Linked DNA regions of Drosophila melanogaster. The protein of the gene in region 3 purifies or fractionates together with the protein of the main gene of each other region. This does not show direct contact. Each region holds a gene or a part of one and is shown on either strand. Other genes may lie near its edges.

Region 1 (7,778 bases), about 15 Mb from region 3:
GGCTTCGGCTCCTTCTCCACCAAGTTGTATTGGTAGCTTATCTGGACCATAGCAGCTCCAGTTCCCTTGGCTTCAAACTCCAGCGACTTGGTGCCCTGTGGGAACTCGACTGTCTGGAGGAGCAGGTCATTTTCCTCCGATGTGTTGAGCTTCTCGGTCTTTTCACGCTTTCCCTTGTTGGAAACGGTCACCTCCCACTTGGCCGCCTCGTAGCCCGACTTCTCAGCGAACTTAATGAGGGCGGTGAGGCCGACAACCGTGTCCTGGCTGGAGGCAAATCCTCCGAAGCCATTACGCTGGGCGATCAACCAGCGAACGGTGTTCAGAACAGAGTCGGCTGTCTCCTGGTCTGAATCCAGAAGGGAAAGCAGCGCATATGATGTGATCTCCACATCCTGACTCCAGATCCAACACCACCAGCGTCCGCAGTTCTTGGAGGCACGCAGCTTATCCAGATCCTCGGTCCACCAGGTGCGATCGTCCTCGTGTTTGGCCAGGGACTTAAGACTGGCCACCTGCTTGGCAGCTTCCGGCGCCTTGGCCTTTTGCAGGGCATAAATGGCAATGGATTTGGGCAGGAGCTCAATGGACTCGGCAGTATTGGCGCTCAGATAGGCAACCGCCTTGTCAATGGCAGCCTGGTTCGGTTTCTCCTCCTCCAGCAGGGCGAGCAAGGAATTTGCGGTCAATGTCAATAGAGATCGCTGGGAGCTATAGAAATACTCTCCGTGTTCCGTGAAGCTACCATTTTCTGCCTGTCGAGTTAACAGGAATTCGTAGCCCTTGGCCAGGATCTGCTCATCCAAGTCAATTATATCCTTGATCTTGCTAAACGAGCGCAGCACATAGGCCGTCAGCCAGGTGGAACCATTGCGCACTGGATCCTCCTGCCTCCATTTGGTGGGCCCAAAGGAACTGAAGCTGCCGTCGTCGTGGCGATAGTGCAACATATGTTGGTATCCGTCCTGCAGATTCCTCTTGATGCGAGTGTCCAATGCAGGTGTGAGTTTCTTGATGCTCTTCAGATAATCCCTCACCAGATAGTTGGGCACCAATTTGGACATGGTCTGCTCACCGCAACCGCTGGGCAATCGCAACAGGTTCTCAAGGTTCTTGACCACTGGTCCCAAGAGATCACCCACCAATCCGAATTCCACACGCTCGGAGTCGGGGACCACATCCTCCGGCACTTCCAGCTCGAAGGTGTTCTTAAACTCACCCGTATCCTTAAGATTGATAAAGAATGCCCTGTTCTGGTACTGGGTAATTCCTTCGGGCACTACCTTTAGCGGCTTGTGTATAGCATCTCCGGCCAGCGGTGAGATGGCCTTGAATTTCAGCAAAATATTTCCAATGACCTTGGGTCGGATCAAAAATGAGGCTCCTGCCGCTTCGTTGGCGCCCACTCTGATGTTCTGCGTACGCTTCTGGTCACCAATAACCTCATTCGAGGCATCCACGAAGTCATACTCTTGATCCTCGTTGTCCAGGGTCAGTTCCACGTCCAGTGTCTTGGGCAGGTAGTTAAAGACCAGTGCCGGTACATTGATCACCTCACCTCGCTTCACGGAGTATGGCAATCGAACGGAGACAAAGAACGGCTGGAATGTCTTGATATTTGTCTGATCATTGGTGACACCTAATCCCTTCTGGGGATGCAGTGAAAAGCCGGTGACCACCCAGTTGGTGATCGTATCGGGTATGGTCTTTACCCACTTGAACACCTCCTCCTCGGTGCTCTCGATATCGGCAAAGATCCAGGTCTCTGCGAAATTCTTTCGCACTACTGGTGCTGCAGATGCAGACGCACTTTCGGCGGAGAATCCCACGGCCTGAGTTGGTCCGCCAGCACCGGAATGGAATACATGACTATCATGTGCCACTGTAGTCTTTCTCATGGCGAAAGAGCTTCCACCAAATCCTTCTGTAACTTCCAATAATTGCAAATTAATGTGGTTTATTATTATGACAAATTTATACGTACGAATATTGTAGTCTGGGGCGGTGCGATTATAGAAGAAATAGGCATTGGTCATAGTCACGACTCCAGTTCGCTCTCCGGGGTAGTAGGAGTATCCACCCTGCCAGGGAGTTGAGGTGTCATAGCCATTTAGGCGCCAGTTGAAGGATTCCTTGTTCAAATCGTTGTTGCTGCCCAGCAGAAGGACACTCTGATCGACGGCCAACAATCCAACGAATGACTTTGGCGACGTCTTGATCTCCAGTGCAACGTCGGCACCCGGTTTAACTTCCGCGGGAGCCTTGATTTCGATCTGGTTCTGCAGCTCGACCTCCACACTGAATGTTTCCTCGGTATATCGGAACTCTCCTGTCTCATCCACGTAGTAGAAGTACACCCGACCATAGGGAGTAGTGAGGAAAGTGGGCTTAATGGTTACGTTGACGGTCGTTTGGGGTTCCGCGAGGTCCACACGTTTCGTTTCCAATATGTTTCCACGTCCCACAATGTTGTACACAAAGTATTTGAGCGGACGACTGGAGTTGAGGATTACTTGATACTCCTGCCCGATCTTGAGGCTGCAATAGAAGTATTGTATATGGTTATTTAAAATCGTGGAACCCTTGCTCAACTCAACTGTACTCACTTCCAGACGTCCTTGGGCCTCTGAACTTCTGCCCTGAACCACTCCTTTTCCTCTTCAGAGCTAGGATTTTCAATCTGTTTTGGTTCCCTGTAGGGATAAGTGGTGTACAGATCTCGTTTTTCATCGACGAACTCCAGCTCAATGCTATAGTAACGAGTAAAGTTGGCGATATCCGGCAAATCGGGAAGAACCACCTTGAAAGGCGCCACACCAGACGCATTCAAATGGCTTTCAAACACAAACGTTTTCTTCTCAATCGTTGGCAATTCCGGTTCTTGATGATCTGTTCCAAAGGCATAGAAAGCATAATTGCGTCGAATTCCTTCAGTGAACTTGGCCTAGAGTTAAAACGAATTTATAAGTAGTGACAGATCTCTTAAGATTTCTAACCCACCTTCACAACAGACTTGGTGTCTGTAATTAGTGAGCCGTCGACATATGTAATCTTGAAGTTAAGTTCATGTTCCTTGTCGGGCTTGAAGGAGAAGCAACTGGAGTAGTCAGTGCAGGACATCTCATACCGATAGGGGTACAGCTGCACACCGCCTGTTTCATTGAGCTTCACGCCGGTGAAGTCTTCCTCCACGGTAGCCGTAATCTGGGCATATGAAGAAGAGGTCTTGTGCGGCAGATAACTGGCGAAGTCCTTGAGATCCATGGTCAACTTGGCCTTGCCTCCGACCATGTCGGCGGTGCCAACAACAGAATGTCCGGGGTAGTCCGTTTGCACTGTCTTGCCGTCCACATTCTCCCAACTGCTCGTCGAGTCCAGATGGACATTGACAAGAACTTTACCATTCACGGGCTTACCATAGGTGTAGCTGGGGGATAATGCTGATATAAGAATGTCCTAAAGCATAAAACTTCCGGTAATACTTACTTGGCCTTCAGGACGACATTGAACTCGCCATCTCGCACTGAAACCTGCTGCGTGGCATCCATTTTGACGGAGTACTTGGGCAGCACGTACTTCTCCACCTCAAAGTTGACGAGCTCATCCGAGCGATGCCAGCGATGACCAAATCCTCCAAATTGTTTACGACCCCCAAAGTAAATACCTCCGTCGTGGTGCTGATCTCCATTCTGAACATGAAGGGACCAGGAGCCCAATGTGGCGAACTCGGAGAGCTCGAATTTGCCAGTGTAGACGCCACCGGTGGTCTTTATGTGTTTCTCCTGCTTGATGCGGTTCCTTTTGGAGTCCTCAAACCAAACCACCACTTCATCCTTAGCGGTATCCGGCCGCAGGTTCTCGTCCAGGAAGATCACACGATAGTTGATAGTATCACCGGGCTTGTACTTTCCCTTATCGGTCTGGATTTTAATGTATGGCTTGAAATTCTCCCAGTTCAGCTTGGTGGAGTTCTTGAACTCCAGTCCCTTGACGCCCTCCGCCGTCAGATTATATTCACCCGCCTCCAATGGGGGCAGTTTGAAGGTGATCTGCTTGAACTCACCGGCAGTGGCTAGTTCCACGGTCTCAGTTTTGTTGTAGGAGGGTCCAGTGATGCCCACTTTCAGGGTGACTGGCTCCTTGGTCTGATGGACAGCCACGGCCACATTGTAGTCACGGTGGGAGTGGATGGTTCCGGGACCCACAATGGTGTACTTGCTGGAAGCAAAGAAAACATCAACATTATTGTCATGAAAAACAAAATAAAATCAAATAACAATTCGGCCATAAAAAATTCCAAGAAGAGAAAAAAACATACACATATCCACTTGGAAATATTTGTAGTATTGTATTTGTATAATATATAGTATTGTATTTCTTGATAGTAACTATAGCTATCAATATTCAAATTATCAATATCAAATTCTTGACCATGCTCTAAGAATTCAAAAATAAATGTATATTGTCTAATCTCTAGGGAAACACAGAAATGAAACTTAAAACCATTAACCTCGACTTGATAATGTTCCCAATCTTTAAAAGGCAGTCTAAGATTCGGTTTAGGTTTTTGAGTTATGGTTTTTTTGATCTGTGACAGCAAATGATGAAATATATATGTATATATATATATAACGGATAATATTCCCAGAACCTGATCTTCTACTGAAAAGTATGAAACCGGCTTAGAGATTACATAATTCCAGCTTTTGCGATTAGCAATCTTTCTCGCACTTACAGTCCCCGATCACGTACACCAATATTGTTAGCCTGAACATCATTAACTTTTTTGGATTAGATTTGTTCCAGCCTTTTATGTTAGACTTCAAGTTTATGACATTTTTAAGTGTGTTCCATAACCCACCTTCATATTCGTTTCTAATTACTAATAATTGGCGGGACAGGAAAAAGTACAGATTTAAGATCGTGTGAAAGATTGATCAGCGAAACCATTGAGGCAAACAAAGTATGTGACGTGATCCTCTTGTTTGAGTAAAAAATATAAAAATCCATATTCAAAATGGCTTACAGTGAAACTCAATTAGCATCATAAGTTGAGCTCAACAAAAATGAAGAAAATAAAACACCCCTCAACAAGGTGAGATTAAAGTGGCGATGGCACCTTCAACTCAAAAATTAAATACCAGATATTAGTTCGGAGTAACTAAACCTCTTTAAAAAAGAAATTCTGAATATTTTTGAAGTGAGTGAATAGTTGTGATCGGACTATCGTACCAGATTTTCAATTTTATTGAATTTCCCCAAATTCACCCTTTTAGGTGCTCATCGTCACTACGTGGACAGAAGTCTAGTGTTTAATCTTATAGGTGTGATAAGGAACGATGTTTAACATTTGCTATATACATAATTATATATCTAAAAGTTAAATTACTATTTGAAAAATGTAGAGCAAAATGTTATTAGGTTAGTGATTTGTAAAAACCGTAAAAAAACTCTCCTATAAATCCAAGGACAAACCAGATGGTATAAACAATTAAGCTAATAGGTGATTTTGCGTATAAATAACAGCTTAATTACCTTGATGTTCATTAAAAACGGCCCTATCTGTATACATATATGCATACCTAATTAATTGAAATATTCGACGACAGCCATACAGTGACTGTGAATATAATAGTGGTAATAAGTAATAAACATAGATAATATAGTTTGGATTGCAGTAATCTGTGTTTAAGTGTTCGAGTGAGACGGGAATCCAACCACTAGCGTATTAGGGAAATGGTTAAAATTTTTAGCCATCAGTTTTTATTCAAATTATCAACCGAATAACCGAAGTAAGAACAATACGTTTTATAGGCCAGCTTTGTAAAGAACTATAGTTTTAGATATCTGGCTTTGATTATCGCCTATATTTTTGCGAATTCCTAACCCGACTCTACTAATACTCTAACCGTAGATGTGTTTTAAAATCGATCCGATCATATAGTATAGTATTTGTGGTATATGGACTTACCCCTCGGCTTTTACCGGTTCCATCGTCTGCAGCAAGGCCAAAATCACACAAAGCGAGACAGCAAAAGCGTCTGCGCGACGCATTTTGATTGGATTGGTGGTCAAATGAGGGCAAAAAGGATGGGAAATAAGAGCACAGATATTATAAGGCTATAATGCGCGGGATCGATGCTGGCGGAAGTTTGGTTAGCGACTGAGCGACTGCGACCGACTGGGATCAGAGCCGAGCTGGGACTGGTTCGGTTCGATGGCCCACGGATTTGTTATAATACCGAGCGACTCTAAAACCCCAGGCCCGGCAGACGAAGCCGAGCTCCAGTGGGGCGAGCAAGTCGTAAAAAAAAAAACTGATAAAAATTATAAGTAAATAAAACTGGCAGAGTGTGTGTTGTTGTGGTGTGTGTGTGTGTGTGTGTGTGTGTGGCGGTGTATGTGGTGCGCCCACTGAAATCGATGACGCGAGTTGGGCAAACAAAACCTTAACAATAATAACATGGCCACAAAAAACGCCGGCACTCCAATATCAATATTCATTCGTGAGTATTCACTTGGGCTAGTTGCCGCTGAAATATCATTCGTAATTTGATTTAAGAAGGAATTTATGGGAATTTACTGGTCAAAGGGATCAAAGATGATTATTTCTAATTATCATATTTACAAATATTACATTTGTGAGTATTCACTTGGACCAATTTCAGCTTAAAAATCATTCGTAATTTGATTTTAGAAGGAAGTTAGGGGAACATACTGTTCAAAAGAATACAATACAGGATGGATTTATGGGAATTTACTGTTCAAAAACACCAAAGATGAATGTTTCTATTTTCATCATATTTTCAAATATTGATTCGAGTATTCACTCGGGCCAGTTTCAATCATAATTGGACTAATAAATGGGAAATAGGGATTTACTGCTAAAAAATTGCAAAAAATTAATGTTTCGAATTTCACCATTTTTAGAAATGAATATATTATATGAATATTACGAATAAAGGGCGAACAAATAGGCGTGACTGTATAGAAGAACAGAAAGTTGGTATTACTGATTGCCCATGAGTGATATTTCAGTTATTTGTCACAGAACTATCGTCATGCAATAGTCAAATTATAACAACTTATTCATATTTCGTGTGGGGTTTTTCGATAATTAACACTTTAATTGTCACCAATAACTGTCGCTTCGTGTTTCGCAATGATTTGAAATATAGATTTTCCTTTTAAATAATTTACGTACATTATCTGGTTTTTGGAAAAGCCCAAATGATTTTTTGCGAAGATCTCGCGTAAAATCCCAATATATGAATTGAATACAAATATTTATGTTTTTGTCGTGTGGCAAATGACGTGCGTGCAATATTATTTGGACTTGTTGATTTGCAGTGTTAACGGAACTGCCTCCTAAATCGAAATACGGAGACCAACTGACTAGGCGTTGTGTACATATATATCGAAAACTCTTTCCTGCTCTCTCTGAGTCAGCTGTTGTTGTTTTGTTAGATGTCGCTCTCTTGATTTGCCGAATGATGACGTCACTTGGCTGTATTTCACACTGCCTTGCAAATGAAACGGGTATATAATGTAGCGATGAGTAATGCCAATATATAAGAGATATTCGCTCAACTGCGTTTCTCTTGGTGATTCCCCGTTTGTTCTTTCTCTCGTGCGGTTCGGTTCCGTGTAATCTATAAGTAGTGATATTGGGTGATATGAATACGCTGCAATCTAGGAAAGGAATTAGCTTTAAAACGCTGTAATTTCATGATTAATTAAATTGTGGTGATGTATGGTGAATTAATTTGCTTGTAACA
Region 2 (3,786 bases), on a different chromosome or scaffold from region 3:
CTAACAGTAATATTTAATATAGTAATTTTACATTTTATTCATTTCCTCGTTCCTGTTCTCTTTTTTATATCGCGTCTATATCTTCTCGCGAATCGAGCCGTACGATACACGGCAGCGCCCCTCGGTCGGTTGGACGGGAGGTGTAGCCGTGGGACCCGAATTAAAAAAAAAAAAAAAGTTCATGTTTAAGTCTCTAGTTAAACATTAATTATTGTTTCAGCTAATACTCCTAAAAGTGCAATTTACAACACTCAACTACAGGGAAAGACACAAGAAATTCAACAATTCAAAATCACAAACACATAGTACAAGCCAGTTCTTTCGATCCCTATCACTTGTTTAATAAAAACATGTATCTTAACCGTGCTGGATTTTTTTAAATTTCTGGTACGCAACACTAAAGTCTTATCTACTACTAACCTAAGGGCGTAATCAAAACTTTGTATTACGGACTTTTGAAATAGGGCTTTTTGACCACAAAAAGGTACTATTAAGCCTATATTGCAGTGCCACGAAACAACAATATTGACAAAGACAATGGCATAAAGCATGCAGATGCTGTGATGCATGCGACTCACTGTGGGTCCCGACAGTCGCGTCCACGAGAATAGCTATTTAGAATAAAATGTATCTACATTTTGATACCCATAGTCCCGTAGTCGGTCCCATTGTCTGACCCGCAGTCGGTAAAATATAAATATTATGTAGGTGCTTAAAAGTTATCGTTTATTTAATAAAATTTAAAAGGACTATTGTGCTGGGCGTTGCTGATGACGACACACGGGCCGTGCTGCACCTTCACGGAGCTCTCGCTGCGCCAGTCGCACTCGATGGGCACAAACTGACCCTTCCGCATCATGGTCTTGGGCTTGGTGATGCCGTAGCAGGCGTGCTGGAAGACGCTTCTCGAGATGGGCAGGCACTGCTCGTAGATCTCCACGATGTCCGCGTGCATGCTGTCCACGGAGAAGTCCTGGCCACAGCGCAGCTTCTGGTGGATGTGCAGTTTGCTGCGTCGCGAGAACTGGGTGCGACACCTCCGGCAGTGGAGGTCCTTTAGCGGCGAGCTGGTCTGATCCCTTTCGATGGAATTGACGGGGGTGGAGAGCTCGTGGAGCCGCTGGAATTGGCCCATGATATTGTTCAGGATGAGGAAGTTCTTGTTGGGCAGCTGCTGGAGGGTTTCGCTGATATGATAGGGCACCACATACAGCTCCTTGGTGGTCTTGCACTGCTGCAGTCCGTAGAGATTGACGCGCATGTTGGGCGGGAAGTTGCCGTTGCACTCGCGGAAGTGCTTCAGGTAGGCGGAGCGCAGACTGGCAAGCTCTGCCTCGCTGGTGGAGCAGCCGGTAGTGGCGGTCAGGCCCTCCTCCTCCTGAAGCTGCAGGGGTAGGGCGAAGACGGACGAGTCCGCTGACTGACCGTCCGCCTCCACCCTAATCCTCTTCACCTGTACTTTCAATCTGGTGATGCTGCACTCTGCCATGCCGTACTCGCTGCTGCAGTTGAGGTAGTTTTCGATCCTCTGCATAAGCATCTCGTAGACCACGCCCACGGATTCGTCTACGTCGTAGTGGTGGTCCACCCTCAGCGAGCCGCTCTGAAAGATCAACACCTGGTCCATGGCGTTCACGTAGCAGGCCAAATTGAACTCCACGGCCACGGTGTTGTTCTGGAACATCCAGCGGAGAAGCTCGGGGATTCCCCTCGCACAGGTCTCGCCCATGAAGTGTTCCAGCTTGTCCTTGGAACTCTCGTCGCAGAAAAAGAAAGTCTCGATCTGGCGGGCCTCGATAATATCCATAACGGCCTGCTGTTGCTTGGTAAGATGCAAGCCCTGTGATGCTTCTCCTCCCCGCAGCCAATGCTGGGAGGGCGGCTCATCTGCGTCGATGGAGCTGTAGCAGGTGGCACATTCGTGTAACTGGCCCTGGGAAAACCACTGGTGGTGGAATGTCTGCGTGGTCTCTTCGTCGGTAAAAACGAAGCTGGATATGGGCTCGTCGAACATGATTGAGATATGGAAACTTTGGATTCGAAAACTGAAGGTGGATATAGCTCTGAAGCACTGAGATGTGTCTATGACAAGGTTCAGTTGCTGACTGATACCCTTCTCTTCGTCGACCTGGCTTATAGGCAAATTGAAGATGGAGGTAACAGGTAGTCTGCGAGTTTACCTGACGCAGGTATATCCCTTGGTAGATAACATCTGCTTAAGGATTTACCTAATATATTTATGGTTCTTTAAGAACTTTTATGAAGTTTATAGAGTGATTAGGGAATTTCATATTTTTTCGTTATTGCAGCAACATTTCAAAACCAGGCAATTCCAGGTGCGATTCCTTCAAATCTCATAATACAAGCTGAGTTCATTAAAGCCATTTATGGCAGTGACATATGCTGCAAATGCTGTAATTATTAGCTACTTACAAAGAAATATAGAGCCCAGTCCTATTGCCCTAGAAATATACGAATAAGAATATGTCAAACTTACCCATTTTAAACAACCAACATAGGTCAAGCTTCGTGCCTTTCAATTTAGTTCTCTCTATATATGCATTTGTCCCTATTCATTAATTTTAACTAGTTAAAGCTGCTTCTAAAAAAAAAGCCCATTCAACTCACTAAAGTGACCAAAGGCAAAAAGATCAACCAACAGACAGAGAGAGAGAGAGTAAACAAACGGCGCCACCACCGCGTGCAATTTGCAGCAGTCAAACGCAGGGCGCACCGTACGGTGGAGCCTCCCACTGCCACCGTTTTGAGCCATGGCATCGTGGCCGTTGTCTCCGCTGTAAAACCAAGTGCACAATGGCCAGTGGAGAAAGAGGACACTGGACAATGGCCACCTCGTGGCAAGTGACGCGACAATGGCGACGGCGATGTCCTGGATCTACAGGATCTGGACTCTGGAGCCAGTTGCACTGCAGTCGCTTAATTTCCGTTTCCGCTTTTCACGCTTCATTGTCCGCCTTGGCTTAGGTTTTGGTTTCGGTTTCGGGTGTGGTTTTCACCTCCCAGAGTTTTCCGCACTCAGTGCTATTTAAAGCCGCCTCCCAGTGAAATATGCTTGCAAATTAAGAATGGCAATTAGAAGGTGCTTCAAGTGGACAGTGGACAATAATTATTTAACCGAGTTTTACTTTCTCCCTGGTCGTTTATCTAGCTTTCATTGCTCTGAATTTGTAATGCATATATAGAGTTATATTAATGACTGATAATCATGGAAACCTCTGTTTTATTTCAATCAACAGAGAATAATGTCAATGGAAGCTAAAATTTTGAATGCCAATTGTATTACAAATAAATACTATGAATTCTTCAGATCTCTTTTTTAGTTAATGTAGTTATTTTGCTCAAATATCACTGAGTAAATGGCAATTAGTTTTCTTTGAAACTAATTTGTTTTTAATGCTCTTCTACTACTGGATTGCATTTAATGAAAATTGGACTCCAGGGAATTCAGAAAACAACAATTTTAAGGTTAAAAGACCAAAATATAAAGTTTACGGGGTCCAATTATAATTTTGAATTTTCGAAAATTATGCTATTAAAGTACCAGGAAATACAGAAAACAAATGTTTGGGTTAAAAATTCGAAAAAGGAAATGCTATAGAATCGAACAACAAATTACATACTTCCATAAATAATAATAATTCGTTTTTATGTGTTGATTTCTTTCATTATACACTAGTTTTTGGAGTTAAAAAAAGGTGTACTTTTGTCAAAAGGTTTTCTTTTGGATTTTGAAACTTCCAAGAGCACCCTATAAATCACTTTTGT
Region 3 (3,090 bases):
TATACATACCTATATTTAATGAAACCAATGAGCAAACCTAACTTGTGTAAGTCAAAGAGTAGCGGAACCAATTGTTAAACCTAAGCATAATAAATCTGTAATAAAACTGAGCTGTTGTATTAAATGAACAATAACAATGTTGAAGACAAAGTTTGGATATCGGCACCAATGCGTAGGCCATTCAATTTGTGAACTTCGAATACGAGTACTTAGTGTTTTTACTAGAAAAGACTTCTTTCCTTTTCCCGCGAATGTTTCGTTGCGATGTTTTCTTTTATACTTTTGTACTAACGCCCCCCTTTCCATAGTCCGACCTAATTTCCATAATGTTTATAAGCTCGATTGATGTCTATATGTACCTCTAGCTAAACTCAAAGCATAATTGATCAAATTGGTAAATGAAAGCAATTCGAAATTAAAACGAATATGTGTACTACTAACGCGCAAATACAAGAATTATTAATGAAAGTTTACTTTAAAGAACGGATTAAAATTTTTAAAAGTATGAGCTATTAAAGAACAAACTTAGTTAAATGTTATATATGAAAAACCAAGAAATTGATGTACATGTTAGCGATATTAATGAGAAATGTGACAAGTGAAAAATAAACCAGAAGAAAATACATATACACAAGTTGCCAAGAGACAGTCGCTTCTATTTGGGATCATCAATTTGTTACGCCTAAATGGGATACATTAAACTAAGTCGGCGGGGTACGCGACCCACCTTAGTATCTGTACTTGGTAGAGTAGTCCTTGGGCGAGACTACCAGACCACGGCCCTTACGGGCACCTCGATACACCGTTTCCACAATGTCGATCATCTCCTGCTTGTCCTCCAGTGGCCAGTTGATCTTGTTGTTGTTGCCCGTGCCCAAATCGATCATGATGTGCTTGTTGCGGAAGAAGAACATCACCGTGCAAGGATCGTACAACTCGTACATCTTGTTGAAGTCCGGCACCTCGGTAATGTCCACCAAATAGATGACAGCAAAGTTCTTCACCTTCTCGGCGATGCTGTACATGACCTCATCCATTTTCATGCAGGCGGGGTCCCAATCGTGACCGAAACGTATTACCTGAAGGGGAAACAATTCTGATTATTTATGTCTGATGGGTGATTGACCAAGTGGTGCTCCACGAAGCAGTGTCTTCTTAAACCGACTGCGATTACTCACAACTACTCGGTCCTCCTCGGAGAGAATGGCCTGGTCCACCTGCCAGCCATTGTGCAAATGAGGGAGCATATACGACATCCTGGCGCGTTTTTTATTTCAAGTTACCGCAGAAAAATTAAAACATAAACAAAGTCTCACAAAATAGTGATGTACTAACAATGATAGCATAACCTTATCGATTACATATCGATGACAGCTGTCAGCGGAAACGGAACCATGTGGCTATCGAAATTTAAAATGTGTTTCCCAATAAAACGCAGTGCAAGAACGTTCGGTTTATAATTAAGTTTTTAATAGGCATTTAGTAATTAGTAGCGTCCTTATCAGTTCAAGTATTTCTGCTTAAAGCTATCTATGTGTTCCAGCACCCTGACCGTCATCTCGTTGATATACTCGTCCCGTCCCTGCTCGGTAAATGGATCGGGAGCACTGCGTCGCGAGACGTAGTGATTGGGTAGGTTCACTTTGTGGCGACCGATGGACTTGATGATCAGCCACAGGATGTAGAAGCTGAACCACACCGTAAAGTAGAGCGGGATGTACCAGAGCTTGCGGCCAATGTAGAAGTAGCTGTACTTCTTCACACGTGGCTCTGGTGGCGGCGGAGGAGGTGGTGGTGGTTCCGTCGGCGGTGGCGGTGGCGGTGGTGGTGGTGGCGGTGGAGGAGGAGGCGGTGGGTGGTGGACATGGTGATGGTGGTGTGGATGATCATCGTAAATGACATCCGGATAGGAATCATCCGGATACGAGGGCTGGTAGTCGAAGTGAGTCGGATAGTGATCGTGGTGGTGATCATGCACGTGATCATGATCGGGTGCATGGTCGTGATCGTGATCATCCGGCTTGGGAGCCGCAGATTCTGGGTGAGATTGCAGCCAACCGGGCGGTGGTGTGGCATACTCCATATTGGGATCATATTTGTGATCGTCGTCGGGACCTGAACCATCATTGTGCAGAGATGGCAGACCGCCGATGTCCCCATCTCCGCCGCCACCGCCACCCCCATCTCCACCATCAGCAGGAGATCCCATATCCATGCCATCTGCAGGAGCAGGACCGCTCATACTGTCCTGATCCTTGGAAGGAATGTTGTCCTGTGCACTAGCTGGCAGGGTTCCGATGGAATCATCATTACCGGGGTCATCATCAGCCGGCGGGGAAGCACTCGCCATACTGGCCGCCGTATCCTTGTCGGCATTGCTATTGGGCACTGGACCGGGATATTTGTAACCATTGGAAGAAGGCCCCGGATATATGTATCCAGCGTTGCTCAGCCCTCCAGATGCGGGTGGCAGGTAACTGGTCACGGTATCCGATGGCAATGCAGCCTTGGGATCCTGTGACGGTGATGGATACTTTGTGTTCAACGGCGGAAAGGAGTACGTATCGCCTGGAGAAACATAGGAGTTCACCGAATTGGAGCCGGCGGCCACCTTGCCATCCTGTCCATGGGAATGATCGTGACTGTGGTCGTGACTGTGATCATGATTGTGTCCCTTGAACAGACCAGCGGCGGTTCCCTCGCCAGGAGCAAAACGATCGGCGATTCCTTAGGTTAAATACAAAGATAAGTATGTATAAAAATATTTGTTAGAGAATTTAAGAACTGTTTTGATTTGTATGCTCTATTGATGCGATGATGATACCTTTCTTATAGCTGGGCCTCGAAGCTTGATAGCGGGATGGATTTTGTGATGATGAAGAGTAGTAGGATGGTATACCTTGCGGGTAAATACGTGTCTTCGTTGGTCGGGAGTTGTACTGCTGCGGCTTGCCGCCTCGCAGCAACGGAGTTATCAGTTGGCCAAAGGGATACGCTGTCCTGTAGTCCACGGCGCGTCCTGTGGAGGCTCCTTGTACGACTGGCTCTGTTTGCTCCTCGGATACTGGAGCAGGATCATCGACTTTTTCC

The links. The genes of interacting proteins can lie anywhere in the genome.
Region 1: the proteins of Dim1 (region 3) and Tep4 purify together in Drosophila melanogaster (affinity purification with mass spectrometry, with the first as the bait; one large-scale study listed by BioGRID). This does not show direct contact.
Region 2: the proteins of Dim1 (region 3) and CG7271 purify together in Drosophila melanogaster (affinity purification with mass spectrometry, with the first as the bait; one large-scale study listed by BioGRID). This does not show direct contact.

The regions. Positions count from the first base shown.
Region 1 is NT_033779.5:19,548,122-19,555,899, reverse strand, and holds the start of Tep4 (Thioester-containing protein 4), read right to left. Parts: upstream 6,208-7,778; 5' UTR 6,055-6,207; coding exon 5,972-6,054; intron 4,219-5,971; coding exon 3,487-4,218; intron 3,428-3,486; coding exon 3,001-3,427; intron 2,945-3,000; coding exon 2,607-2,944; intron 2,539-2,606; coding exon 1,985-2,538; intron 1,931-1,984; coding exon 1-1,930.
Region 2 is NT_037436.4:18,587,087-18,590,872, reverse strand, and holds CG7271 (uncharacterized protein), read right to left. Parts: upstream 2,115-3,786; 5' UTR 2,015-2,114; coding exon 731-2,014; 3' UTR 708-730; downstream 1-707.
Region 3 is NT_033779.5:4,401,503-4,404,592, reverse strand, and holds Dim1 (Dim1), read right to left. Parts: upstream 1,343-3,090; 5' UTR 1,257-1,342; coding exon 1,179-1,256; intron 1,080-1,178; coding exon 729-1,079; 3' UTR 638-728; downstream 1-637. Other genes in the region: CG33003 (uncharacterized protein), read right to left, coding at 1,502-2,727, 2,825-3,090.